Linked DNA regions of Coturnix japonica. The protein of the gene in region 1 interacts with the protein of each later gene in a pairwise test. Links are inferred from orthologs where the notes say so. Each region holds a gene or a part of one and is shown on either strand. Other genes may lie near its edges. The genes, in order: ATXN1, HPCAL1, CCNK, SLC51A, LASP1, YWHAE and STAM2.

Region 1 (3,500 bases):
CAAAGTGAGATACAGTACGCACTGAGCGGTAGACCAGGATGCTCAGCCAGAAAGTGTGAACAGCATTTTAAGTGCTTAAAGACATTCTACGTTCCTCTTCAACATCGGGTTCCTGTGTCACACTGAAACTTGAAAAAAGTGGCACCAGTTGTCCATAATCATGAACCAAAAACAGTACTATAGAGTTAAAGACCGAGATCTGCAACCTAACTGCAAATGACGTGTGCCTGTGATCTCAAAGGGGCAGTATGCATCTCCCTCGTGGAAGCAAATGTCCATGGCATAACCTGACCGATGTGTCTAACACTGCACAGAAACAGGAGTGAGCCTGAGGAGGGCATGTCACCCAGCCTGAGGCTCCCTGCACACCCACACACACCCACGCACACTTGTGCACACCCACGCCACCAGGCAGCCCAACAGGGTGAATGGTGCAGAACAATCACCCCGTGTGTGTATGTATGTGTGTGTGTGCATGGCCTCTGGCAACGAACTGCACGAGCAAGCAGAAGGAAAGGTTGGTGTGGCACTTGCTTCACGAATAAAAATCAGTGCAGTCGGACCCCATGGGGGAAATATATATGTACAGATACACACACACACACACAAATATATATATATATATATATACATATATATATACATGCACATATATGTGTACATATATATACTGTGAATCTTGAGTAAGAGTTGGCTTATTGTTGACAAGGTCAGAAAGCATCTGATCCTTTTTGGTAACATCTGTGGGGCTGCGTCCTCCGCATTCACCTGGAGTGAGAAAACCTCCTCACAAGCCCCCATGGCCACAGGGCTGCCTCAGGCCGGGCACGCGCACACATGCACACCATGCGTGACACATGCACACCATGCATGACACGCACACCACACGTGACACACACCTCTGCTACAGTTCCCTTCTCCTCACCTCCCCCCAAAAACTGGAACAGGAACCAAAACAAGGAAAAAAACAAAACAAAAAACCTAAAAACAAAGAAACAAACAAACAAAAAAAACAAACATAAAGAAAACAAACCAAAATCACAGCTGGACCCTGTCCTACACGAGGTGTTAGAAAACAGGAGCCATGACAACACATTCATTTCCACTAAGGGTGTGTGAAGCAGATACTGCCCCTTCTGTAGCTCTCAGGAAACCTAGTCACTGACAAACACTTGTGGAAAAACATATGCACCAGTCTCCTGCATAATACCAGCTGCAACTATAACAACAAGGTTATAACATAAACCTAAAATAAGATGATAACATGTAAATACTGGGTTATTTAGTCTACAGTACAGTAATCTGGATAAAAATGACAAGGGATAGCCTAATTTCCTTTCCCCAAACAACATTTACTTTCCTACATTGGATCGACCTTCAATGCAAATCTTAACCTCCTGAGGAATAAAAGAAGGCTTGGGAAGAGTCAAAGGTGGCTCCTCTTCTGATTTCTCTAGTTTCCGCGATTCAGGGGCTGACCACCTCCTCTTCCTCGTTGCCGGGGGCTTGCTGGGTTCTGTTTTGGTGAGCAAAGGTGCTGCAGGCAATCCTATTTTGTCCGGAAACTTCAGTTCACCATTCTCAGCTAACATCTGTGCACTTCCCTGATTAATCCCATTTTCCTGCTCCGCATACCTGTGTCTACTTGCAGCTAGACTGTCATTCTTTGAATGCTTCAGCAAGATGCTAGCTGAGTCCACGGGCTGGCCCTTTTTAATAGAGCCGTTCTTCAGGTTCTTGAGCGTAAGAGATATGCAGACGTCCCCCACTGAGAGTTTGGAGCATGGCAAATCAAAGAGCTGGCTGGTTCTCTCGGGGCAGCAGGACGACCAGCCTTGTCCAAATACAAAAAAAGGGTATTCTACCAAGACCTCCACGCTGACCTGCAGAAAGAGAGGAGACAGCAGAGAGAGAGGGAGAGAGGAGAGAGCGTCAGACAGGCCCTTTGCCTTGGTGCACATGAGCAGCGGCCAGCAGTCGTCGCTCGCGAGAGTCAAGCAGGGATTGTGCCGCTGCCATTTGGTATCTGTGAAATCTGCACATCGAGCACCAGACTTCAGGCTTGTCCTTGTCAAACGGGTGTTAACAGACTCTCTGAGCTCAGCACTTAACACAAAACCTCAACAGGAATCGATCTTTACCTCTATCCAGCTGCTCACAGAGACCCAGCAGGCAAAACAGCTTTGGCAGCTAACAGATTCTACTCCCTGACGTGCCCTCATGATACCTCAGCCTCTCGTCCATGCCTACCAATACGTTCCAGACAGAGGATGGCTCCCTGAGCTGGAAGAGGCTCTATTCCCAGCAATAACACGTGATTCCCTAAATGACCATGGGAACGTCACTTCTCCTTCTCTGTCCCTGCCCATGCAGCTGCATACTTACCAACATGAAATGGCTGAAAATGTTGACTTACAAGGGAAGGCCACAGGTGTGAGCAGAGAGCTGTGTATGTAGCAGCATTGGGAACGAACCCACCTACTCTGAGCAGTAATGGGCCTGGGCTATTTTGTGCCCTTCTCACCTTGCTCTTCCAGCAGCCCACCTCTCTGATTATTACCTATGAAAAGCATTCTTGATTTCACTTCTCAGCCTGACCTTGTTAGTCCCCACTTTCAAAATGTACATGGCTCTGGGTCATACCTCATTATCATACAGGCAGCTGTGGTATCCAGGAGAGCAGACCAGCAGCAGGTGCCTGCTGCTCTATGACTGTGCTCGTGGTGGATCCTAGGGCTAACATGATACAGCACTCAAATACCTGCTGATCTTTGCACCATGTTTGTCCATGGGCTCACACAGTAGATGTGGGCTCCTCTGACTCATGGCCTACAGGACAGAGCTTAACGCATCCTGAGGGCTCCTGGTTAGCCACAACTGGTAGCTCTGCTCCTCTCCCTACTGTTGCTGCTCCCCCAGAAGCACCCTGCCTGCAAACAGGACCCCAGGCAGCTCCCTGCACACCTCACCCGATGGATCATCATCCCCCTTGGCAAGAGGGCTGGATGTAGGATGTCCCACAGAGCAGAGCCATCAGATCGCAAAAGCCAAAGATTCCTCATGGCTTTTGAGTGGTCAAACCCATACCATGCCCTAGCAGACAACTGCAGTTCATGAGACAGGTGATTCCACTGATGGAAAAAAAAAATACAAAAAAACTTTAAGAAATCTATAAATATATGCTACAAATTTATATGACCAGGCAAATACAGAAACATCTGCCCTGAGTTTGAGATCATATTCCAAAGACACGCAACCCAGTAAAGGGTGTGACGAGGAAGAGTGGGGAGGGAACACTCACTACCATCTCTTCTGGATTTAAACGGAACCCTCTGTCCACATAGAGCTGTAGGCTTTCCTACTGGACACAGATTTCTCATTTACATTGCTGTACTTTGCCTCTTTATCATCTCCTTCCTGTTTGCTACAATAATTTTTTTTCTTTTTATGCTTTCCCCACCCCACCAAAAGCTGTGTATCTTTGGGAATCATCCATGCTT
Region 2 (4,057 bases), on another chromosome or scaffold:
TGGCATTGCTCACATAGGGTGTGCAGGGAAACAGAGGGGATTACTCATGTGTAACCACCCCCCGCGAGGAGGAGCGGGCTGCAGGCGTGTGAAGTTGGCAGTGACGGTGCTTGCATCTAGTTTTCCATTCTGTGTTCCTGTTTCGAGTCGCTTCTAGTTTTAACAGCACAGGTTCGCCAGCTTCCCAGCTTGTTTTTTGCCTTGGGCCGACCTTTATGTGTATAAACATATAGGTCATTTTTTAAGTCGGCAAAATGGTTCGAGCTGCTCTGAAAGGGGCTGGAGAAATGGGTTACTGCAGAGCAACACTTTCAGCTTTGCATCAGTAGTTACAACGTATTCCAGCTTTGCATCAATAGTTACAACGTATTCCAGCTTTGCCTTAGAGGTGAAATGTGGCTTTTTTTTCCTTCTATTTTTGTTTCTTAATTCAGTTTTCTGCCCTCACAGTACGGAGATAAGCTCTGAAAACCTGCATTTCGGAGGCTTTTTGTGCCTCCCAAGGTTTGTTGCTGAAATCTCTCCAGATCTTTTGTTCCTGGTGTGGCCCTGATTTCAGCTCTGCTCGGTTCTTATCTCGTGCGCTCGCCTGGACTCCTATGAAGGAAGGCAGAGTGAAAGCTGCCGATAAGGCACAACGGGAACGGCGTTCAATTCTCTATACGTTCCTGACTTGAAAGCGCGCCGGGCAGGAGCTAAGGGAAAAACAGAAATCCTAAAGGAAGGATTCATCCCCCGTGCGCTCTGCAGGCCGTAGCTCTTAGCAAGGCTTCCCATGACCTCCCTCGAGAAGCAGCTTAGCACTGAGCCCTCAATCCCCTCCATTTTGTGGCAGGGTGCGCTGTGCGGGCGGCTGTCCCCGGCCAGAGGCAGCGCACCCGTAGGGATCCACCTGCACGGGCACGGATGGGGAGGGGAGGGGCGGTGGGTACGTGCTGGCTGCGGTGGCAGAACTCGTTGTAGGGCCTGCAGCTGAGAGCTTCCTTGTTTGCACTGGGGTTAGAAGAAAAAAAAATAAAAATAAAAAAAAATAAAAAGGAGAAAAAAAAAAGGAAGAAAAAAAAAAGATAAAATATATTAAAAATAATTTTTTAAAAAAAGAAGAGGGAATTAAAAAAGCAAAAAACCAAAGAGATCAACTTTTCCCCGCCGCCCCGCACTTCCTGCCCCGCGGCGGCCGGGCGATACCAAGTGGCTGCGGGCTGTTGGGCGGCCCCGTCGGGGCGCGGCGCTGCGCAGTGCTGCGGGATCCGGCTCCGCTCCGCCCCCCGGCGCCGCCGCTGCCCCGCGGGGAAGTTGCGCTCCGTGCCTCGCTTTCCCGCTCGCTCCCTCGGCGGCGGCTCTTTCCTCCCCCTCCCTCCAATGCGCCTCCCGCTCATTTCCTCTTTTCCTCTCCTCTCGCCGCCGCTCCGCAGGCGTGCGGCTCGCCCGGGCTCCGCCGCGGAGTTGTAGCTGCCGGGAGGCCGCCGCGGGACCGCTCCGCAGCCGGGTGAGGGGCGGCGGGATGCGGGCGGCTCGGGGGGCGGCGGGGGGCAGCGCCGGGGATGCTACGGGGTGGAGGTGCGCGGTGCCGGGAAGAACGGACGCGGGGATCCGTGCGTTCCGCGTGCGTTAAGGGGGATCTTGGAGCCGGCGAAGTTCGCTCCGCACGAGTGGCGTTCGGGGAGTCGGCTCCCCGAAATCTTACTTCCTATTGCCGTCTCTCGAACCGGCCCTGGCTGAACGCTGGCTCCGCTTCGGTCGCCCCTCCCCCGGGGCCGTTCAGCGGCCCGATGTCCGCTCGGTGCCCCGCACCGGGAACGGGGGGGAGCGGCGGCCGCAGCGGGCGGGGAAGTTTGGGCTTAGTTTGGGAGAAGGCGGCTGTGTAGTTTGTGTGCGTATGAGAAAACGGCGGCTTTATTTCCGCAGGAATAATGCTAGGCGAGCGCTGGAGCTGCAGGCTGTACCGTAGTCCCGTTCACAAATATAAATGTGGCAGAGAGACGGAGTTTTCTTTGCGGGGAAAACAAACGGAGGAGGCAATAATTCCGTCCCCGACACGTTTTCTCAATGGGAGCCGTTTGTTGTGGCTGTGGGTTCAAACGCTCCCGGCTCCTCTCGGCACAGCCCGGCGGCCGTTCGGGCAGCAGCCGCCCTGGGTGGTGCCGGGGATGCTGCGTGTGCCTGCACGGGGACCGCATCGCCGCCGGTGCTGAGCCCCGGGGCCCTTCCCCGCACGCGAGCGGATCGCACGGCAGCTGCGAGCCTCGGCTGTCATTAGGGAAAGGCACTTTGTGCTCATCTCTGCCTACGCGAGATGGGGAGATGCCGGCCGGCAGCGCTGCTTCTCTGCCACACCTGCCTTCTTCTTGCCTTCAGTGTGATGGTTATGTCTGGCTTAAAGTGGAGGAAACTGTGTAGGGGAGGGAAAAACAAGAACCGCTCGCCTCTTTAGAATGGATGTCGCAATGCTGGCAGCAGAACTCGTGTGCTGTCAGCTATCCCGGTGAAAAAAGCGCTTTTTGTTGGCGCTGCTTCATCTTCTTGGGGAGCAGTGCTGGGTGGGGAGAGCTGTGCCAGCTGCAGAGGCTTTCTATGTTACAGCTGGATGCAGGGCTGGCATTGGGCATAAGGGACGGGCACAGGCAGCTGGTTTGGGCTGAGCAAGTCAGCTTAGGGACTGTGGCTCTGCAGAAGAAAAAAAAAACCATAAAAACAAAACCCAAAGAAATCCGACATGATCTGTGATTCGGAATGGTTGCGATTCAAAAAGATTCGTGCAGCATCATTTGTTGTATTTTTGAAGCCGTGCAAATAGTTTTTGATGTATTGATTACCTTGATTTGAGAGGGATGGGAATGCTGGTAGACGAAGTGGGCAGTCTGAGTTGGAATTCTCTATAGTGTAGGGATTTTTCTTGCTTTTGGTGATACGAGACTGTGAGGAATGAGACTGTGCTCTGTGTGTGTGTGAGATGCACTGATGCTCGTGGGAAGGGGATCTCTCGCTTGCAGAGCTGCTGCTCCTTCCTTCAAACCTGACTCCTAGGACAGCTTCAGTAACAAATGCTATACGTTTTCCAGCGAGTGGAACAAAAACTGACCATTTCTTTTCTGAAATGAGCTCTTTCCCTTGTTCCTCCTGTGCTTTCCATAGTGGTTGTATGTGGGATCGGTTTCTTGTGGAAATCCAGTGCCAATGGCTGGGAGACCCATAGGATGGGCTGCGCAATGAACGATACATTACCTTGCGCTGTCTGTGCTACAATTAGAAGGCAGGAGCCTGGAGGCTGCATCCAGCTCGTAATGTGAGAAAGACTGCACGTCTCCTGGGCTGCATCGCACAACATGTGCCACTGGCAGTAAGAGATGCTGCTTGTAACTAGGGGGTTCAGGTGAATAACCTGTCCAACCCAACCAGCTTTTCTCTTCTCTTGCGCTCTCAAATGTCTTTCCTGATGACTGAACTACCTGTATTGAGCAATGCAATCTACTTGGTATCTGTCTGGCAAAAAAGCAGAACCAAAAGCTGGGCACAGCTATAGTTACGTACAGCTAATGCATCCTCCTTTGAGACCTGCCAGTTTTGTTGATGACATCTACAATCACTGCTAGGATTTCAGTGGCTGTGATCTTAACCTCATCAGAAAGGTGTCTGGCTGATGGTAAACCTTCAAAACTCCAGCTGGGTTGGAAGGTTTGGCTGGTAGGGACAGCTGGAGACCTCAAGGGCAGGAGGCTGAGTCCCAAGAGGCTGCTTTGGCCTCAGAGATGCTTGCTAGAAATGAGGCATACCGAGATCCTGATGCTTGTGCCAGGAGGGTTGGCTAAGCTGAAGCAGCTGGCTTTGCAATTAGATTGAATTTCTGTTTCAGACAATGTGTTTATCGTAAGGAATTAACCAGCGTGCTAGTCAGAGTGGCAGAGGTGTTTGTTTCCAGTTCTCCAACCATGCAGAGTACGAGCATTGGGATGCGAGTGTGCACACGTGTGTGCTGGTATGCAAATACCAAACGTGTGTTTTGAAGGAATAATGAACCTTGCTCCTGGCTATCCCCACTCTGCCCACTGACCACATC
Region 3 (4,233 bases), on another chromosome or scaffold:
GAGTTGAGATGTCAAAGTAACGTTGTTAACACCCATAGAACAGAGGCATCCAAGAAGCATCTGGATAGAGAGCTAGAAGATATGGTTTAGAGGTTTTCTGTAGGTATGGTAAAGGGAGGACGGTTGGACTAGATGATCTTGTAGGTCCTTTTCAACCTTGTGATTTTATGAGGCATCATTTGAAGAGACAGGTTATATATTACATATATATATATATTACACATTCTCAGAAGGGAGACAGAAGTTGCACACAGCTTCAACTCATGAGCAAAATCAAGTTCATAGAAGAGCAGGTACCAGGCTTCTCAGCCCAAACTCTATGCTGCATAGAACAGCTTCCAAAACGAAAGCTGGGATTGTTCTGACAACTCTGTGCTGTGTTTGGGCAGCAAATCAATTGCAAATTGAGGAAGCTGTTCAGAACTAAAGACAACTGCAGACCACAAGCTTCACTTAAGCAACCCGATGAGTGCATGGGCGGGAAGAGGATGAGGAACAGCTGTGCAAAGTTGGGTTTCAGCAGCACCGAGCTGCCCAAAGAGCGACTTGCTTGCAGGCAAACAGCTTAAAGGGGACTCAGAAGTTATTTGACGTTTGACCCAACGCTACGGCCCCCCGCCCCGGATTTAGTGCTGGTGAACGGGAGGGTCAGAGGGAGCGAAAGGAAGGAGCGGGCAGCGTGATGGAAAGGGAAGGGATGACATCACGGGGAAAGCAGCTCCAAGCCGGGCGTCCCGCTCCGGCCTCCGAGGGCCAGGCTGGAAAGAGAGGTTGCACCGGGCTCAGCACAGCCTCATCACAACGGAGGGAGAAACGCGGCGGAGGGAGGAAAGCGAGGGGGCGGCGAGGCCTGGGCCGGAGGAGCGCAGGAAGGGAGGCGGCGGGGAGGGCCGCGGAGGGAAGGGCTCCGGGAACGAGCCCGCCGTGCGGGAGGCCGAAGCCCGAGGGGTCCCGGCACCGCCTGCACTTACCTCCCGCACGGAGCGGCCGCGGCCTCGGCTGCTGGGAGCGGCGCCGGACCCAGCCCGTCCCTCCGCCGGACGCCGCTGCCCGCGGGTGGGAGGCGGAGGGCGAGTGAGGCCCAACCCCGCACGGCCAGCGCACGGCCCCGCCCCCGTGCTGCTATTGGTCAAAGCACGGCCACAAGGCAAGCCCCGCCCCCAGCGGGACGCTCGGCAGCCAATCCGCTGCCTCGCCTGTAGGCACTAAAAAAGGGCATGGCGGCTCCCGCATTGGCTGGGAGAGAGCTCACTCCTTCGGCATCTCATTGGCTTGCGAGGTTTGCAATCTTGTCCTCTAAGCCCTTTGATTGGTCCATTCTAAGGCGAGGGGAGACTGCTCCTCGCGCTTAGCAGCCACTGAAACAGACGGGATTGGTTGCGGGAAGGTTCCGCCGCTTCTCATTGGCCGCCGCTCGGGGCTGGCGCGCTGAGTCCCGGTGACGTTGACGTGACGCCGCAGCGAGCGGACCGACCTGCTTCCCAAGATGGCGGCGCGCAGAGCGCGGGGGCCGCGCTGTCGTTAGAGGCCCGGCGCTCCACAACGCTCCGCTGTCCCACGCGAGGCCTGTGAGTGCGCGGGGAGCTGGGCGGCCTTCTACGGGTGGGGGCCCGCTCCTGAGGCGGGGAGCGGGGGCACCGGGTGTCTGTGTGAGCGGGGGAGGTGGCACGGAGCCGGGTGCGAAGGCCGCTCCCTGAGGGGAGTGCGAGGGAGCCGTGATCGGGGACCCCAGGGCTCCTCGGGGCTGGCGGGGTCCGGAGGGGGCGGCCCCGGGGCGCTGTGTGCCGGGGGGGGGGCGGGGAGAGGCGGTGTCGGGGCTGCGGGGCTCCGCACGCGGAAGTGGCTGTGACAGAAGCGGGCCCGGCTCTTTAAAAAGCTCCTTAAAAGTCGCCGTGGGGAGGAACCGAAACGGCTGCAGAGCCGTAAATGAGGGGGGGAGCCGGACAGAGCTGTAAGCGGCTGTTGGCCTGTGTGTGACAGCGGGCACAGGGCTGTGTCAGCACGGCGAGATGGGGAGGCCCTTGAGTGCAGTGATTGTAGGTGGCACCTGACCAGACAGACCTATCTCAGTTGCCTTGATCTTCATGATCTTTTTAACATGCATCTCTACTCTACTGTTTTTTTCTTAAGTAACTCAAGTGCAGATGATTTAACAAAGGTTTTATCCAAGTGTTGCCATTCTGGTAGTGTTTCCAAGAGACCCAGTAAAGTGCTGACAATAGCAGGACACGGGGAAATGGTTTTAAATTAAAAGAGGGAAGATTTAGGTTGGATGTTAGGGGGAAGTTCTTCTCTAGGAGAGTGGTTAGACCCTGGAACAGGCTGCCCAGGGAGGTTGTGGATGCCCCGTCCTTGGAGGTGTTCAAGACCAGGTTGGACGGGGCCCTGGGCAACCTGATCTAGTAAAGGTGTATGTTTGGTGGCCCTGCCAGGCAGGGGGGTTGGAACTACATGATCCTTGAGGTCCCTTCCAACCCGGGTCATTCTGTGATTCTGTGTTTAAATTCCTTTCAGGCTGACCTAACATATGTGTCCTGGTTTATGAAGAGTGATTTGATTTCATCTCCCTCTTTCAGCTGTTCAAATCTTGCTGCTGCTATCACTAAATTGTTCAGTCTTATTTTATGGACAAAATGGATTAAAGTTGTTCTACAGAAAAGTAGCAGGTGCTTTTGATAAAACGTTGAAGTTTCTCTATCAAAGAATTGCAAAAGTAATCATATATAAATCTAGTCTTTGAATTGTATTTGCATTATGTCAGGAAGATGAAAACGTGGTTAAATATTACTTGTCTGTGAGCATGGAAAAAAGATTCCCCTTCATTTTAACATAAGTTCTTTTTGCTTTTCTTAAAGGTTCCAAAGCTCCTAACTGGAAACTTTTTTGAAGCCATATCAAGCAAGATCAGTTCTAATAAATGAAGGAGAATAAAGAAAACTCCAGCCCTTCTGTAAACTTGGCAAATCTGGACCATACAAAGCCATGCTGGTACTGGGATAAGAAAGATTTGGCACATACACCTTCACAGCTTGAAGGGCTTGATCCAGCCACCGAGGCACGGTACCGCAGGGAGGGAGCCAGGTTCATATTTGATGTGGGAACACGTTTAGGGCTGTATCCTTTAAACTCCTGATAAAGTGTTGATGAACGGGGGTTTTAAGAGTTAAATATTGCAGAATATGTGTAGCTAGTTGTTCTAATGTTTCTTTATCATGAATCAAAAATCTTTCTGAGTGTTACTTGATAGTTTTAGCCATTTGTTGGGTAATCAAGGTGTTTTCTGAGAAGCAAGAGAGTTTAGTTTTGTCAATTATGGATATTCTGGCGGTTACCAGATATGGCCTCTTATATGATTTCTCAAACTTTGAATTTTATGTTTATTTTTCTATATTGTTTAACTTTGGAGATTCCAACCTGTGATCCACCACCCCCCACTTTGTTTTTCTTATAGGGTGGAATCTACAACTTTATGTATGTTGGTAATTTCTCCCCATTGTCTCAACTCATGGATACCACTCAAACTTTTTGCTTGCTATATCCCTGTTACTTCTTTTAATCCCGTGAGTTCTTTGTTTAATAGATCTTGAAGATATAATTTTGCATTTATTCTGGCAAAGAATAGTAGGGAGCCCGTTCATGTTGCAGCTGTGTTTGTAGGTATGAATATTTAGTAACTATTTCCTGCAGTAACAGTTTCATGAGGTGTGATACAAAGCGACACTTTTACTCCTGTTTGTGCCTAATTCTGCTTTTGACCTTCTTGATGATGGTGCTTATCACGCAGATGACCACGCATAGATGTGATATGGGCTTTTCTTACTCCCAGTAAATGCTTTAGGTGTCGGCTGCATCTGGATAGAATTTGCACAATCCTAAGGGGGTGTGGCTTCTGTTTCTCTTTTAATTGCAGTGTTTTTCAGCCAGTCGCTGAGTGGACAGTTCCTTGAGATATTTGATATATCAGAGTGTATCTTTTTCATTGGGTGTGTTTGATTTTACATTTGTTCTGTGACTTTCTTGAAGTTCCTTATCCTGCACCACAGACACTATGATACTTTAGCAACAGGAATAATTTATTTCCATCGGTTTTATATGTTTCATTCCTTCAAACAGTTCCCAAGATATGTAAGTATTTACAATATTGATTACCTAATACTGTGATTACATGAAGGATAGGCTTTCTGAAATGACTACAAGTCGAGGGCATTACTCCTTGCACAGCTCTTGCTGAAT
Region 4 (4,198 bases), on another chromosome or scaffold:
ACTAATTCTGCCTTTCCCACTCCTCCCTTCCCCTGTGTGTTGTGTTGGGAGGTCAGGAGGGGGCCCTGTGAGAGCACTGATGTGCAGCTCATGCCAGGCTCTGCTCTTAGCACTGGTGATCTGCCCATCTCTGACCATAGTGCATCAACTGGTTGTGCTGTCCCCTCCAGCCTCAGCTGCCTCAGGCTGGCTCTTCCCAGTCAGTGTCCACTGTGCTGGTTTCTCTGTATGGCCCTATGTGCACAACTCTGTGTCTTACTTGTGCTGGAGTTAGTTGGTTTTTTTTGGCATTTACAATTAGCCAAATAAATGCAAAATCGTTTTACTCTCTGTGTGCCTCATCCCTTCTGCTGTTCTAGCACAGATGTGTTCTCCTCATCTGCCATTTTAGCCATGGTTGGAAGGAGACGAGGCTTTGAGGATCTTCCACATTCCCACCTGAAATCGTGTCCTGCCCAACAAGGAGGAGGAGGTCCAATCCCAGCCACCAACACAACACATGTACAAAGTTATCTTTATTCAGTGCCAGTCAGGAACACCACCCCCAGGCTGGAGGGCTGCTTCCACATCCCAAAATGTCCTTTCTCCCTCCGCTGCCTTTGCTCCCAGCAGGCTCAAAGCATTCTGCTGGGCTGGCAGCACCCTGGACTTGCTCTACCCTTGCACCTTCCTCTGCTCACACCTTGGCATTGCTGCTGGTGGCTGCGATGCTGACAGGCTGGTAGCCCGGTTTGTCATCCTGCTTGCGGTAATACATCCGTGCCACCACCGCCAGGATGAAGGTCTGCGGGATTAACAGCTGCATGTTCATCTCTGAGAGCAGGAAACAGAGAGATTATTTGAAGGTGCTTTCACCAACCACATCCATCCCCTCCCTGCTGTGTGCTGGAGGTGCTTAGCCAGGAGCCAGCCCCCCCTCGCCCTGAGCTCCCAACTCACGCTGTGACCTGGCCTTGGAGGAGAAGGGTGGTGAGCAGGCGATGTTACCGTTGTTGGCCAGGATGCTGAAGATGGCGGGTTGCAGTGCTGTCAGCACCAGGAGAACCTGCAACCAACAGCACCACCCGTCACAGGGACCCACAAGCAGCCACTGTGCTCAATAACCAGGCTGGCTTTCCACCTTGTCCCACTGCCTCGCTCTGGCCATGAAGACCTTCTCCTTGTGCTTCAGGTGCTCACTAAGCTGCTGGCTTACCTGGAAGCAGGTGAACTTGGCCTGCATGTTCTGCTCCTTTAGATGCAGTCGTGCCTGCCGGAAGAGGATACCCAGCGCCCACAGCCCAAAGAGGGTGGAGGCTCCAATGACGGTGTTGATCCAGAGTGCCACACTCTCTGCTGAGATCTGTGGGGAAGAACAGTAGCTGGCAGGGCTGCCCTGTCACATGTGCCCCTGCCTGTCCTCCACCACAGCACTCACATCAGCAGGGTTGTAGTTCCCATCAGTGTACAGGACCAGCCCCAGGAAGACAGCAGCTGTTCTCAGGAAGGCATACTGGAAGGTCCCCAACATCAGTAGACGAAGCTTCCTCCTGGTGCAGGGAGAAGTTGGTTGCATCCCCCTGCCCAGGATTTGTTTCACCCTGACGTCCTATAGAGGGACAGCCCTGCCCCATCCCTCCCTCACCTGCTCATGGTGATGCGGGGCAGGCAGGGGCAGCAGCAGCAGCAGGGCCCGGTGCTCACCACCATGGGCACGTCCTTCAGGATGCTGAGCACGGCCTCCTTTCCCCCAAAGCCTTCCACCATAACCATCATCATGACGTAGAAACAGATGGCAAAATACCTGGGGAGGAGAAGGAGGAAGAGGAAGGTGACAGAAGCAGCCATGTCCCGCTGTCCCAGCTCAGGTCATACTCACATTGTGGTGGCCATCTCCACCACCATCATGGAGCGTGGGATCCACAGCCCGAAGCAGCTGAACACAGCCACCACCTGGAGGAGACACGGGCTGGGCACAATGCTGTCCCCCATCCCCATGGGGGGGTTTGGACCCCCTGGTGCTGCCCCCAGGCTCAGCTCACCGTGGGGGCTGAGCTGCTCCAGCAGAGAGTCTTCATCTTGATGGGGCAGCTGGTCTTGCGGTAGATGTAGAGGGCTTCTTCCACATAGATGACGACTGACACCAGTGTCAGAATGGTGGCCAGGCCCGTGATGGAGAGTTGGACCATGTCCAGCTCTGCCAGGGAGGGGCAAAAACCTGGTTTTATTGAGGCCTGTTCCCCCCTGCCTGGGGTGGGGGGCTGAGACCCAAGCAGCAGCCTTCTGCCTTCCCCCTCCATCCCCACCCTGCGCCCACAGGGGACAGAGGAGAATCCCCCCACGCTGCCCCCTCCCCACACTTACGCTGTAGCAGCTGCCTGGAGGTGGGTGGCAGGGAGAAGCACGCGGCCGGCACGCTGAAATTCAGCATCAGCATCTCCACCAACGGCCGAGGGAACCTACGGAGAAGGGGGGAGCTGCTGAGAGCAAGCAGGGAAATGGAGACACCAAGGGGTCCTCACATCACCTCTTCCTCTACATAACCCAAAATCCCACTGCAAAGAGACCCAGCAGCATGGGGGTCCTGGCACCTACCTGGGGTCATCTGCCAGCTCCATGGTGGGGTCCATCCTGCCCAGCTCTGTCCCACCAGCTGCTTGTCACTGCCTGCCTTGGTTTCCCTGTGCTGTCCTCACACTGGGTCAGAGTCCCGAGGGCAGGGACCGCGGGGAGGCTTTGGTGTCTTGTTCAAGTTTAACCAGCTCTGGGCTCTCATTGGTGAGGACCTGGCTGTGTCCCAGCCCCACAAAGTGCCTCAGCCACACGGTTATTGACCTGGGAGGAGTGTCTGTGACTTGTGCCATCATGCCTGCATGTCCCCAGAGCTCCGTGTGCTGGGCTCTGCCTGCCCACACTGCTGGACACCCCACAGATGGGCTCGGATGGGCACCCCGTGGTGCCTGGGTGCCCTGGTCCCCATGTGTCCTCCTGCTGGGGTACAGGATGAGTGGGGCAAGACCTGGTGTAGCACTGCCTGCCACCCTGGTACCACTCTGCCTGCTAGGCCACGGGAAGCCTGGCACATGGCTGAGTGTCTGTCTGTCCTTCCTGGCACTCCTGTGGCCTGGCACAGGACAGCAGGTGAGAAGGTTGCAAGAACTCAGCTCCCAGCAGTTAGCCAGGCACCATGACGCTAGAGGGCAGGGCTGGTACCAGCACCAGCTTCACTGACAAAGCTCTGGCCTGGGGGAGGGAGAACTCTGAGCTGGGAATTGGGATTCAGCGTGTCCCTGCCCTGAATGGACTGTAGCACCCAGCTGGGCAGTGGGTATGATCACACTGCTGGTGCCCTCACAGCACCCCAAGGAAAATGAGCTCCTGTGGACTCCTGCAAAGTTCAGAGTGGCACTCACACCCCAAGAGAGTCCTCAGCGCTCTGGGAACAAGAAGCTGCAGTTGCCATGGGGAGTAGTGGGGATGCAGTAGTTGCTATAGGAGTGGAACTCAGATTGTTGTGCCACAGCTGCCAGGGAAGGGGATGCGGTCCAGCCTGTGAGGGTCCTGCAGCAGCTCTGCTCACCATGGAGCTTTTTGATTCCTTTCCTTTCAGCATCCTCCTGGTCCTGCACCTGCTGGTCTCGTACCCGTAAGCCACTCTACAGTAGCACCCATGGCAACATGGGGTGACAGAGCTGCCCTTTTCCACCAGCATCTCAGGGACGCTGGAGTCGAGCATCAGCTCTGTGCTCACCCTGCTCCCCGACCACAGCTCCGTGCCCCATTCCATCCCTCAGGTACAGCTGGCTGGCCCTGCACAGCTTGCCGCTGGGCCCCTTCCTCACAACCATCCTCCTGATCCAGGCTGCCACCAGCCTGCTGGCATTCAGCTTCTCCAACCTGGAGTTCCTCCAGGCAGGTGGGATGTGCGGATACAGGGGGGTGGGACAGCAGGGGATGGCGCCAGGTCTGTAGGGAGCGGGGTCCCTGTTGTGTCACCTGCAGGAAGGACCCAGAGGGACGCACTGAAGCGGAGCAGCACAGTGAAGCAGCAGCACTGCCACCATTCCTGCTGGCAGCAAATTCTTTCTGCCTGCTGTGATAGCTGCAGGAGGGTAAGGGACACAGTGCTGCACACCTCCAGCACATCGCAGCCCCACTGATTGTATCCCCTATCCCTACACTCTACACCCTTCATGTGCACACCCAAGTGTGCAGTGCT
Region 5 (3,467 bases), on another chromosome or scaffold:
TACAGCTCCCTTTGCTTTTGGGTTCTCAACCCATTTCAGTCCGTCTGCATCACCAAAGGGAGCATAGATGGAATGGGAACAGCAGACACAGGTGGGAGAGGCAATAGGGCGAGCAGAGCCACCTACCTCCAAGCCCTCACCCCCTGCTCAGGGTTGGATGCAGCTGCTGAATCCCCCCTTGGGCTGCACTCAGACACAAGGATCTGCAGGGTCCCCATGTCTCCAGGTCCCCCCTGTGTCCCAGGGGCACAAGGGAACAGCGGGCACACTGCAATGACACCAGCACCACGGGCAGGTAGAAACCACACTTTTATTGTGGAGGAAACCAAGAAGGAGGATCAATCTGTTCCATTCGAGGGTTGGATTTAAAAAGGCCAAAGGACGGATTGTTGGGGGGGGGGGACTCAGCCCCATAGGAAGGAGAATGTGAAGACAAACCCCAACCAAGTGGTGGATCCAAAGGAAACACCTTCTAAGCACTGAGACGTGACCAGGGCAGCTGAGAAGGGCGAGGTTTATTTTAACACGTGACGAGAAGCTTTTCCATTTCTTTTTCTTTTTTTAATGTTTTTTTTTTTTTTTTTTTAATTCATTTATTTATTTTAAATACAGGTTCAGGTGCTTTTCAGCTATGAAAAAAGGCAAAAAAGTGCATAAGTCGAGAGAAAAAGGCAGAAATGAAGCAGTAAGAGGTTTGTTTCCCACAATAAAATGGGGGGGAGAAGGGGAGCAGAGACTCAGGACAATGGTTCCAAGGTAGCATTAAAAAAAGGTCTGTATACCAAAACGTGATCACCTGTGTGATTTGGTCCATTAAAAAACGCTTTATTCACATTGACAATCCCCCCCCTCTACTATTTCCCAGACAAGGATGATGAAGGATGGGGTTATGGGGAGGGATGTGGACTCTCTGCCCCCTCCCCTCCTTGCCTGTGTAGCACCGAGTGGACCCTCCAGCCCATGCAGCCCACCCTGGTGGGATGGAGGCAGGAGAGGGGGGGGGATTTTCCCAATGGGGTCCTCCCCCGTCCCATGGGATTGTCCCCAGGCAGAGCTGAGGGCTGTCTGAACTCGGTCACTTTGGTCCTTTGGGACATGAGCACCTGGCTGCAAGGCTTCCAGTTATACCTTCAGCTCTGGGACCTTCCCAGCCTAAAAGGGAAGGGGACAGAGATGTGCTTTGAGATCTTGGTCCACTATGCGATCCCACATCAGCAGCCACCACTGCTGGGGACCAATGGGTGAGAGGTGGGGGATGGCAAAGGGCTCAGGGTACTTAAACCCCCCATCTTCCCACTTCTGGACAGCCCCCAGCACAGTCCCAGTGCAGTAACAGAGCAGAGAAATACATCACACTCAGCCCATAGAGGCACAGGGATGAGGACCCAAAAGGGGAGAACCGGAGCTGCAGGGGGACATGAGGTCAGGGCAGCAGGTGCTCCTGCATGGTGGCACCTCTCAGCCTGGGATGCAGAATGAGGCAGCTGGACCCCCCCAAAAAAGCAGCAGGAGCTGCTCCTGGAACCATTCTGAATCCCAAGAGATATATATTTTTAAAGGTTTTAACCACAAATATCCTTCTGGTTTGCAACACTGAGGACTGAGGGAGCGCAGTAGAAATAGGAATGGTGAACAGAGAGCCAGGGGAAGCAATGGGACGAGATCAGAGCCAGATCAGCGCAGGGAAGGTGCTGCCAGCTGGTCCCCCCCAGCATCCCTCCCTGCCCCCAAGAGGTGGGATGTTTGGTCCTAAGGAAATGATCCTGCTCCTCCCTTCCCTTGCATTCCCAGCTCACTGGGGGCTGGGGGTGGATGTGGGGCAGCCTGGTGTGTGTGCGCCCCATCCCATCCCCTGCAGAGGGGAGGAGGAAGGCAGAAGGAGAAACATTTGGTCCCAGAGCCCCCCGTCATCCCTCGCAGACAGACCCTCAGTCCCGGCAGAGTGAGAACAAAGCTACAATTGGCGAGAGAAACCAGAGGTGGCTGCAGAAACACAAAGAAACCGAGACGTCGGGACACGGCTCCGGCAGAGGGAAGGGATGCTGGGGGAGAGAGAGACGCGAGCACACTGGGGCCATGTTATGGAATGGGGGGGGGTTCAGCTCCAACCCCCTCAGATGGCCTCCACGTAGTTGGCGGGCAGCATCCCCGTGTCACCCGTGCGCTCCACCGTGCCGTACATCCAACCGTCATCGATCTGCTGCACGTTGATGATGGTGTCACCATCCTGGAAGGAGACCTCGTCCTCATCGGCTGCGTTGTAATCGTAGACGGCACGGAAACGCTTCTGTAAGGAGAGAGAAGTCAGAGGGCACGGAGCCCACCATGGGGAACCCAGCCCATAGAAGAGCTGTGCCAGCAGTAGCCATGGGATCAAAGAATCACAGGATCACCAGATGGTTTGGGTTGGGGAAGACCTCAAAGACTGTAGAACCGTAGAATGGTTGGGCTGGAAGGGACCTCGAGGATCATAGGATCAATGAATGGTTTGGGTTGGAAGGGATCTCAGAGATCATAGAGCCATGGGATGGTTGGGTTGGAAGGGACCTTGAAGATCATAGGATCAATGAATGGTTTGGGTTGGAAGGGATCCCAAAGATCATAGGATCAATGAATGGTTTGCATTGGGAGGGACCTCAAAGATCATAGGATCAATGAATGGTTTGGGTCGGAAGAGGCTTTGAAGATCATTAAACCATAGAATGGTTGGGTTGGAAGGGACCTCAAAGACCACAGGACCACATCATGGTTTGGATTGGAAAAGACCTCAAAGATCATTGAACCATAAGATGGTTTGGGTCGAACAGGACTTCAAAGACCATAGGATCAATGAACGGTTCGGGGTTGAAGGGACCCCAAAGACCCCACACTCACCCCCGCTGCAGAGGGTGCACTGCGCTGTGTGGATGCAGGCGCTGCAGGCTCCTTGTAGCCATAGGACTGCGAGGCTGGTGGCTGCTGCTGGTACACTGGGCAAGAAGGATACACCATTAACACAATGACCTGTGGCCATTGGAAGCCCCCAGGTGCTGGGATGGCCCTTACCCGGGTTGCTGGGCTGGACGTGGTGCTGTGGCTGGTGCTGCTCCGGTCGTCGGTAATTGGTGCTTTCCTGGGAGTTCCTACGCTCCATCTCTGCGCCCTCACTGGGGCTGGGGCCCATCCTGCTCCTCTCAAACTCTTCGTGGTATTTGATCTACAGAGGAGGACAAGAGGTACATGGGGAGGACCAAGCAGCCTGACTTCCCCTTGTGCCCAGGGGAAGGACGGCTTCAGGGTCCTGGGGGGAGATATGTGAGGTTTCCAGGCACAGATGCAGCCCCCCAACCCCCTGCACTGCAGGAGCACACAGCAGAAGCACTTTAAGTGATCCCACCATGCAATCACTGCAGCAAAGGGTTAACTCAAAGCCTGGTCGTGATGTAAAAATTAATAGCTGCTCCTGTTAATGAATACCCTGCCATTGG
Region 6 (4,012 bases), on another chromosome or scaffold:
GCAGTAGCAGCCCAATCAATGTGTGTAAATGTTGTGTGTGCAAAGGACAAGGCAAGGATTGCATCAGGAAATTGAGGATCAAGTAAAGTCCCTACGTTGAGGCAAATCGAATTGATCATGTACAGTCCCACACAAAACTAAGTCTTAGCTGCTGAGAAAATAGGCTTTTTTAGTTAAGATTTATGAAGGGCGGAGGTGATTGTAAGTTGCGCAGTGTTACACAAATACACTGACCGTAATCCGCTGGGATTCTATATAATTCTATAAAAATCATAGTAATATTTTAGGTACATCCATAAGCAAACCATCCAATTGTCAGTTTTACACAACCTTAAGTCTTCGTTAACTTGAAATAATGCAATGAAATGAATCAGGTGACAATAAACCGATGGTTAAACCTGTGCCTCTGATCAGTGGGCACAACATAGAACACAAATGGATACTCAGCTCTGTCCAAGAGGTGCCGGGGATGCTCTGTCTCTGCTGCGTATCAGAAGCTGCAATGGCCTCTGTGGGCTCTCACACCTCAGGAAGGCCAAGAGCCTTCAGCCCATCCAAGGAGACACTGGAAAAAGAGATACGAGCCTGTTCATAGCGGATACGAGCTCATACCCACCCTGAACAAACCTCACGTTTATCTTAGCCAAACAGAATCACTTTTCTTTTGCTTTTTCTTTGATTTGGGAAACGGGGGGGTGTTATCATAACGCTTTCAATGCCTGCTCGGTGGATTTCAGGCCTCTGTGAGGAATTGATGCCACATTCCTCTCACGTTCCAGTTCCATCCCCTCAGTGATCAGTCAGTGATGGCAGCCACAGCGCTCCCCCATCACACAGCCTGCCTTTCTACAGGCATTCCTATACCCGGGACGAATACAACAGGGAAAGGCCGCTGTACTTTGAATACACCAGATCTGAGAGGAAGGAGAAAAGCGCAGCCAGACTGAGGGAAAACCCGGCCACTCCGATCCTCCCCGCACCCCCACCCGGCTCTTTAACACACTAGCAGGGCTCCCTACCAGCACCCCCAACCCCAACCGGCTCCGCACCGCGGCCCTCGGCCTCCACATCGCGGCGGATCCGCATCCTCACGGCCGCCGCTCAACAGCAAAATGGCGGCCGGTCCCAACCCCGGCCCGGCCACATCCCGCCCGTTACTAAGGAGCCGCCGTTGCTATGGGATGCCGTAGGGCGCATGCGCGCGGTTGTGGAAGTGCCCGGATGCAGCGGGAGGAGGTGCTGCCGCCATATTTGCCCGGAGAGCAGCGAGCTGGTAGCTGCTGAGCCCCACAGACCCATCGGCTTCCATCCGCCCCGTACGCTCCCCGACGCCGCTCCGCCTGCAGGACATGGACGATCGGGAGGATCTCGTCTATCAGGCTAAGTTGGCCGAACAGGCTGAACGTTACGATGGTGAGCGGCGGCCGGGAAGGCCGTGAGAGGCCAAGGGGAGAGAGAGGGAGGGAGCGGCCACAAAATGGCGGCTGGGCGGGGGTGGGGGGGGCAGGGGCGGAGGAGGGGGGCGCCGACAAAATGGCGCCGGGGAGCGCCCCGAGGGCCGCGGAACCGGGGATGGGGGGCCCTGAATGAGCGGGCGGCCTCGGCCTGGGCGTGGCCCGCTACGGGGGGCGGTGGCGGCAGAAGCCGGGAAGAAAATGGCGGCCGCGAAGGGCGAGTCCTGGGGGGGGGAAGGGGGGAGCCGCCCCCGCCTCGGGGGTCCGACAAAGAGACCCCACTGCTTAGCGCCGTGCGGGCGGCTGTGGCGGTGCCGGGCGGCTCCTTAGTGCTGCGTTTCCCTCCGGCCGCGGCCCCGCGGAGCTCGGCGCTGTGGGGCTGAGCTCGGTTCGCCGCAGACAACGCCCCGCTCTCCGGAAGGTTCGTGCCGGCCCCTCGGGGGGGGCGATGCCGGAGGGACCCGAGGGAGCGGGATGGCGCTTCTCTTTCTCTCCCTTCGCTTTCCATTGGAGGCACGGCTCTCATTCACCCTGCAGCCGTCTGGCACTGCCCGTCATTACCTGAAGGAAGAACACATGCTTTCATTACACGCTGGAAATCATTACAGACCATTTTACGTTCCCACTTTGTCTCTTTTTTCCTCCCCCCCCCCTTCCCTCATTTGCCTTATGAAATTAGAGCTCTGATCCCTTTATATCTTGGGGAAAAAAAAGGGGCGGTGGGGAGGAGCTGGCAGCCCTGGATGGTATTTCTTGCCCCCAAAATGTCTGCCGTGTGACTGTTCCCTTCAAGGTGCTTTTCTTGCCTATAGAAGAAAGGGCCTTTAATTTTCTCAATGGGGTTGTTATTTCTGCCCTTAGATCTGTATTTCAAGTGGAAGAAAAGCCGGTGTGTGTGTAAAGGGTGGGAGTACAGTTAGGTTTCATTTAGAAGTGGGGAGATGCTTTGGGTCCTTTAATTGATCAGGGTTTTCACAGAGCAGGGAAGTCAGCTGGTGAGAATTAGGCTTTGTTCTCTGAGTTACTGCTTAGAAAACTTCTGATAATGGGATTCCAAAGCTGAGAAATACACCTTTTGGGGGAGGAAAACAGAAATGAAGGAGTAATTAAGACCATCTGCAGTGAATGTTCTGGTAGAAATGGGGTAGGAATAAGAATCGTACTGAGTGACAGCAGCCAGATAGTCTCCTTGTTGTAACTGCAGGGACTTGGGGGAAAAAACGTCCCCCAAAGCAGGTTTTGTGGGGTGACTTGTGCCCACCCCTTCAAGTAAGATGCAGCTCATAGTAGGAGAGCAACATCTGTGGGTACAAGTGGTTGAGGAGGGGGGTGTAGATTTGGGGTATCTTGGTTTTTTTGTCTCCTTAGGAGTGTGGGATGGGAAGGTGCATTGTTCTCATTGCTGCCATCTTCCACAAAGACCACAAATCCAGCAGTATTGGGGTGTGTGTGGGGGAGGGTTTGTTCACCTGGTACAGATGAGCCTCAGCGCAGGGGTGAGCTGTGGTTTGAATGGAACTCCAGGCTAAGGATGTTTGGGGGATACATCATCCTTTTGAGGTATAACTGATGCTTTCCTAGCTGAATGGGAAGTCACTTCTTTGGAAAGCAATCAGACCTTCCCTTATTGTAGAAATCTGCAGCACAGCCTGATTTCCTTATCAAAAAAGGTTGATAGAGATAGAAATGCCACACAAAGGCAGTCAGTGGGCTTCCAATCCCAATGCTCCAGTGGGTGTTTGAAGAATGAATTGCCTAGGTCAGAATTCAGAGGGCTTCTGTGTGGCTTCTGAGTGTTAATAAGAACACCCTCACTGAGGAGGTAATGATAATCATAGTGTTCTTATCTTTAAAGCAATATTGTGGGATTCAGACTTGCAGAATTTGTTGGCATGGAGTTGAATCAACAAATTTAAGGTGCATCCCTTAACTCTCCATGTTGTTCTATAGCTTTCCGCCTTTTTTTCTGTCCCTGGCCTGGAAAAATAAATACTGTAGGTACAGGTTTAGCATCTAATTCTGTATCGTTCAGTTGGAAGCAATTAAAAAGTGAAGAGTATATTCTCATTTACATGAAAGTAAGTGCTGAGGCTGCTCAATGTGAATGAAATGCTGTGGGGAAGTGAAGTGATGCTTAGTTTCATTCTTTAGTTTTACCTTTGAGATACATGATGGTGAGGTAATAGTGAATAACTTCCAGATACTACTGATGGTAAGTACTGGCTACAAATGTGCTGGAATAGAAACCTGTTCTGTGACTTGAATATGAATGTAAAATGACAATTTTTGATGTTTAATGTTAGGATAGCGTTACGTTCTGCCACATCTTTCTCAGTGAGGCTCAGCGTGCTGTGTGGTTAGAACAGCCATGGTCCATGGCATTTGAGGCAGCTTCTAAGGTAGGAATCTAATAAGTTTTTTGGGTTTTTTTTAGTTACATGACCCACTTAAGTTCTGAAGCCTTGCAGGCTGTGCCTGCCAGTTGTTGGGAATGTAGTTCTGTCTCTGTACAGCCCTTGGTGTATCGGCCCAGATTAAGAGGACAACTTTCTTAGGTG
Region 7 (3,993 bases), on another chromosome or scaffold:
GGAAAACAGCGAGTGTGTGTGAACTAATGATGAATAGATTTAGATAGGAAATTAAAATGTTCCAAACCCTTTAAAGAACTCAAGTCTCGTGGCACTCTCTCTACCAAAATAATAAGAATTTAAAAAAAAAAACACCACTTCTCTCTACCGAAATAATAAGAATCTTTAAAAAACCCACAGGTGAGAGAAATGGAACTCCTGAAACTATCCCATAGGTTCATCTCATGGAACTGCAACTATAGACAATGCAACCAAAGCAAATGCTGAGGAAGTAAGACCCTATGCAGATCTACTGCAAAGCAAACACAAGTTCAGAACTAAGAAAACAACAGCTGCAGCTGTGTTTATCTATAATTTCTAAAGGCCCCCTCCCAAGAAAGCTGCAATACCGAAGGCATGGCCTGAACAGATATCCAAACCAACCCAATTTCTTGCTGCCAGCAGAAGTAGGGCTTCAACCTTCCCAGGGAGCCCTGCCCCTCACTGCCACTTTGCAGCCTCTGATGAGCTGATCCGAGCCTCCAAACTCCATCGCCTTCACAGATGATCCCAACTGTCAGCCAAGCACTCCACTGCAATCTGTTTTCTGCTGAAGAGAATGCACTGAATCAGCCCAGAGAGCAACCCACAGCACCTGAGTGGACAAGAAGATGGAAGAGCTCTCCTTCCCAGTAGCATCAGGACATCAGCAGAGCTCGACTGCCCTCGTGGTACGCACCTTTATTATTTATAAATCAAAAAGATGAATGAGAAAATAAAACCTCGAATCACAAAGTTAAAGCTCGACAGCAGCATGAGCAGCCTGAGGTGAGTACCACCAGGGAAAGTACAGAACAACAGTGTTCAGTTATTTGCTGCTCCGTGTTGTCTGATTTACTAAGTAATAATAGCTGAAAGAAAAAAAAGCTCCTAGTGGCACAAAAGTAGATTCTTCCTAGCAAGGCACTGCGAGATTTAGCCTCAATAACTATGAAATTCCCAGCCCACTGCTCTTGTTTCATAGCAGCATGTGTGAGCAGTTCTACTCGCTATGTATAATACAGAGTTTAAGAAACTAGAGGCACACTGACCATCACTTTGCAGCCCTATGCTTTTAGAGCTGTTGCAGCTTTTCAGTTTTGACAAAGGATTTTGTACAGCCGTGAGTCCCCAGTTCAAGAAGTCTTCACTTGTGCAAATACATCAGAGCTATGAGAAAGGTACAGAACACACACAAGTTCTTTGAAACAAGTACAGCTGGCCTAAGCGGCTGCTACTTCATTTTAGCCACAGGTCAACATCAAAGAGAACTGAAGGCAAAGCCTTCAATAAACAAACTTTGAAGGCACACGAAGATAACAGTGAAACCTCAGAGTTGGAAGGGACCTCTGAGGGCCATCTAGTCCAGCTCCCTCGCAACCAACAGGGGCACCAAGCTAAGTCAGATTGCCCAGGGTCTGATTGAGCCTTACCTTGACAGTCTCCAGGGATGGGGCATCAACCACACCACTGTTCCAGTACCTCACTAACCTCACTGTAAAAGGCTTTTATCTAACCTAAATCTACCCTTTTCAAGCTCAGTGCCATTTCCCCTTGTTCTGTCACCACAGACCCTGCTAAAGAGTCCATCCCCTTCCTTCCTGTAGCTCCCCTGTAGACACTGAGAGGCCACTATTATCAGGTCACCTCGGAGCCTTGTCTTCTCCAGGCTGCACAGCCCCAGCTCTCTGATCCTGTCCTCATAGGAGAAGTGTTCCATTCCATCCTGTGGACTGTTTTTGTAGCCCTCCTCTGGACACTCTCCAGCAGCTCCATGTCCCTCCTGTACCGAGAGCTCCACATCTGGACGCAGCACTCCAGGTGAAACCTCACCAGCACAGAGCAGAGGAGCAGGACTTACACTCACCACAAGGAACTGGGGTGTTAACGTGAGCACTGACAGCCACCACTTCTTCCTGCCAGTGGCCAGAATCCTGCTCTAGGGAACCTGCAATGAGCTCTGGGGAACCAGCTCTCAGGGGACTGGGCTGGAGGAGCTCCAAGATCCCTTCCAACTCCTCTGGTTCCACGATTCGGCAATGACAAAACTCTTCTCGTACCTAAAGCCCTGGGAAATCACAGAATGACCCGGGTTTGAAGGGACCTCAAGGATCATGTAGTTCCAACCCCCCTGCCTGGCAGGGCCACCTTTACTAGATCATGTTGCCCAGGGCCCCGTCCAACCTGGTCTTGAACACCTCCAAGGACGGGGGAAATTTTAATTGCTTTTGCTGTGTTGCAGCTCAGCAGCGGGCCTTTAAAGAACAAAAAGCCAACAACAAGACACGGCACAAGCTGGATGTCCCCGAGGGCAGCGCTGGATCACGACCCGACCCGGACCAGCCCGGCTGAGTCACGGCCGCACCAGCCCCCGGTTTTGCAATGGAACGGAGCGGCGGCTCGGGCCGAAGTGGGGCTGTGTCCATTCTTACACCCGGTGGGCGCTATCCCGCCGCCGGCACCACCAAGGCCGATCTTGGCCTCCACAATCCCAGCCCGACCCGCCGACCCGAGATACGGCCGGGCATCGCCGCCGCTCACCCCTCACAGGCCCAACGCTGCACCGAGCCCAGCCGCGTCCCGCCGAGCTCCGCACCGCTCCCCGCTCACTCACCCACGTCCTGCTCGAAGGGGTTGGACGCGAACAGCGGCATCTCCACGGCGGCCGCCCGGCCCCGCTCCGGCCCCTCACACCGGGCCCCAAAGCCGAATGCGGCGGGGAGAATCAGGCACCGGCCGGGGCAGCCCGGGGACCTCGCGGGGTTTGGGCGGGCCCCGCACCTCGGCGCCTCGGCCACGGCCCTTCGTCACGGCTGGGAGGAGCCATGTTGAGGCGGGACGGGAGGAGAGAGGGGTGTGTGTGATGTTCACTTCTCATCCCCCTGTAACTGGGTTGTCGAAAGGGCTGACAATAGCAGGACACGGGGAGATGGTTTTAAGTTAAAAGAGGGAAGATTTAGGTTGGATGTTAGGGGGAAGTTCTTCACTAGGAGAGTGGTTAGGAACTGGAACAGGCTGCACAGGGAGGTTGTGGATGCCCCGTCCTTGGAGGTGTTCAAGGCCAGGTTGGACGGGGCCATGGGCACAACCTGATCTATGGGGTCTCTATGGGGATCTATGGGGTCTATGGAGTCTCTATGGGATCTATGGGGTCTATGGGGTCTCTATGGGATCTATGGGGTCTCCTGGGCAACCTGATCTAGTAAAGGTGTATGTTTGGTGGCCCTGCCAGGCAGGGGGGTTGGAACTACATGATCCCTGAGGTCCCTTCCAACCCGGCTCATTCTGTGATTCTGTGAATACTTTCAAGGACTTCTGGATTGTATATGAGAAATGGAGTCTAACTTGAAGCACACACGGACGTTTCTTGACAAATGAAGGCAGTTTGCGTTTATTTCTAACCACATCGGGCTAATTATCAAATGCCCTCTAGCTTTGCTGGCTCTGTGGCTGCCTCTATAGCAGCTTAATGACTCACGGGCTGCGGTGTGGGACGGAGCTCCCGTTGTGCTGGTGGCTGTGTTGGAGCAGTCTGCAGGTGGCACCGCTCTCCCACTTTGGAGGATTTTGATGACAAAACGGAGTGTTTTTCCTTCGACCTTAAATTTACGAATTCAGTCGAAACTGATGATTTCACGTAGTGAATCAAGCGGAGTCAAAACGTCATTAATTTGTTTGATTGCCTTAAAAAGACAGGACGAATCAATTGGTGGTTAGGCCCTGGAACAGGCTGCCCAGGGAGGTTGTGGATGCCCCGTCCTTGGAGGTGTTCAAGACCAGTTTGGATGGGGCCCTGGGCAACCTGATCTATGGGGTCTCTATGGGGTCTATGGGGTCTCTATGGGGTCTATGGGGTCTATGGGGTCTATGGGGTCTCTATGGGGTCTATGGGGTCTCCTGGGCAACCTGATCTAGTAAATGTGTATATTTGGTGGCCCTGTCAGGCAGGGGGGTTGGAACTACATGATCCTTGAG

The links.
Region 2: the proteins of ATXN1 (region 1) and HPCAL1 interact in binary tests that used the Homo sapiens proteins (3 or more experiments, as listed by UniProt). The link is inferred for Coturnix japonica from reciprocal best matches to the Homo sapiens genes ATXN1 and HPCAL1.
Region 3: the proteins of ATXN1 (region 1) and CCNK interact in binary tests that used the Homo sapiens proteins (3 or more experiments, as listed by UniProt). The link is inferred for Coturnix japonica from reciprocal best matches to the Homo sapiens genes ATXN1 and CCNK.
Region 4: the proteins of ATXN1 (region 1) and SLC51A interact in binary tests that used the Homo sapiens proteins (3 or more experiments, as listed by UniProt). The link is inferred for Coturnix japonica from reciprocal best matches to the Homo sapiens genes ATXN1 and SLC51A.
Region 5: the proteins of ATXN1 (region 1) and LASP1 interact in binary tests that used the Homo sapiens proteins (3 or more experiments, as listed by UniProt). The link is inferred for Coturnix japonica from reciprocal best matches to the Homo sapiens genes ATXN1 and LASP1.
Region 6: the proteins of ATXN1 (region 1) and YWHAE interact in binary tests that used the Homo sapiens proteins (3 or more experiments, as listed by UniProt). The link is inferred for Coturnix japonica from reciprocal best matches to the Homo sapiens genes ATXN1 and YWHAE.
Region 7: the proteins of ATXN1 (region 1) and STAM2 interact in binary tests that used the Homo sapiens proteins (3 or more experiments, as listed by UniProt). The link is inferred for Coturnix japonica from reciprocal best matches to the Homo sapiens genes ATXN1 and STAM2.

Annotation. Positions count from the first base shown.
Region 1 is NC_029517.1:67,425,141-67,428,640, reverse strand, and holds part of ATXN1 (ataxin-1), read right to left. Parts: intron 1,884-3,500; coding exon 1,353-1,883; 3' UTR 1-1,352. UniProt on the Homo sapiens protein: Chromatin-binding factor that repress Notch signaling in the absence of Notch intracellular domain by acting as a CBF1 corepressor. Binds to the HEY promoter and might assist, along with NCOR2, RBPJ-mediated repression. Binds RNA in vitro.
Region 2 is NC_029518.1:88,237,448-88,241,504, forward strand, and holds the start of HPCAL1 (hippocalcin-like protein 1), read left to right. Parts: upstream 1-1,257; 5' UTR 1,258-1,489; intron 1,490-4,057. UniProt on the Homo sapiens protein: May be involved in the calcium-dependent regulation of rhodopsin phosphorylation.
Region 3 is NC_029520.1:43,658,512-43,662,744, forward strand, and holds the start of CCNK (cyclin-K), read left to right. Parts: upstream 1-1,433; 5' UTR 1,434-1,568; intron 1,569-2,647; exon of another isoform or gene 2,648-2,666; intron 2,667-2,855; 5' UTR 2,856-2,917; coding exon 2,918-3,114; intron 3,115-4,043; coding exon 4,044-4,125; intron 4,126-4,233. UniProt on the Homo sapiens protein: Regulatory subunit of cyclin-dependent kinases that mediates activation of target kinases.
Region 4 is NC_029524.1:12,997,857-13,002,054, forward strand, and holds SLC51A (organic solute transporter subunit alpha), read right to left. Parts: upstream 2,722-4,198; 5' UTR 2,610-2,721; coding exon 2,575-2,609; intron 2,439-2,574; coding exon 2,344-2,438; intron 2,177-2,343; coding exon 2,022-2,176; intron 1,933-2,021; coding exon 1,859-1,932; intron 1,784-1,858; coding exon 1,625-1,783; intron 1,530-1,624; coding exon 1,418-1,529; intron 1,343-1,417; coding exon 1,196-1,342; intron 1,046-1,195; coding exon 940-1,045; intron 814-939; coding exon 677-813; 3' UTR 501-676; downstream 1-500. Other genes in the region: uncharacterized protein LOC107318217, read left to right, coding at 3,561-3,625, 3,774-3,895, 3,982-4,091. UniProt on the Homo sapiens protein: Essential component of the Ost-alpha/Ost-beta complex, a heterodimer that acts as the intestinal basolateral transporter responsible for bile acid export from enterocytes into portal blood. Efficiently transports the major species of bile acids (taurocholate).
Region 5 is NC_029542.1:3,769,946-3,773,412, reverse strand, and holds the end of LASP1 (LIM and SH3 domain protein 1), read right to left. Parts: intron 3,197-3,467; coding exon 3,046-3,196; intron 2,970-3,045; coding exon 2,875-2,969; intron 2,288-2,874; coding exon 2,114-2,287; 3' UTR 501-2,113; downstream 1-500. UniProt on the Homo sapiens protein: Plays an important role in the regulation of dynamic actin-based, cytoskeletal activities.
Region 6 is NC_029534.1:3,989,822-3,993,833, forward strand, and holds the start of YWHAE (14-3-3 protein epsilon), read left to right. Parts: upstream 1-1,212; 5' UTR 1,213-1,349; coding exon 1,350-1,413; intron 1,414-4,012. UniProt on the Homo sapiens protein: Adapter protein implicated in the regulation of a large spectrum of both general and specialized signaling pathways. Binds to a large number of partners, usually by recognition of a phosphoserine or phosphothreonine motif.
Region 7 is NC_029522.1:30,549,718-30,553,710, reverse strand, and holds the start of STAM2 (signal transducing adapter molecule 2), read right to left. Parts: upstream 2,801-3,993; 5' UTR 2,673-2,800; coding exon 2,633-2,672; intron 1-2,632.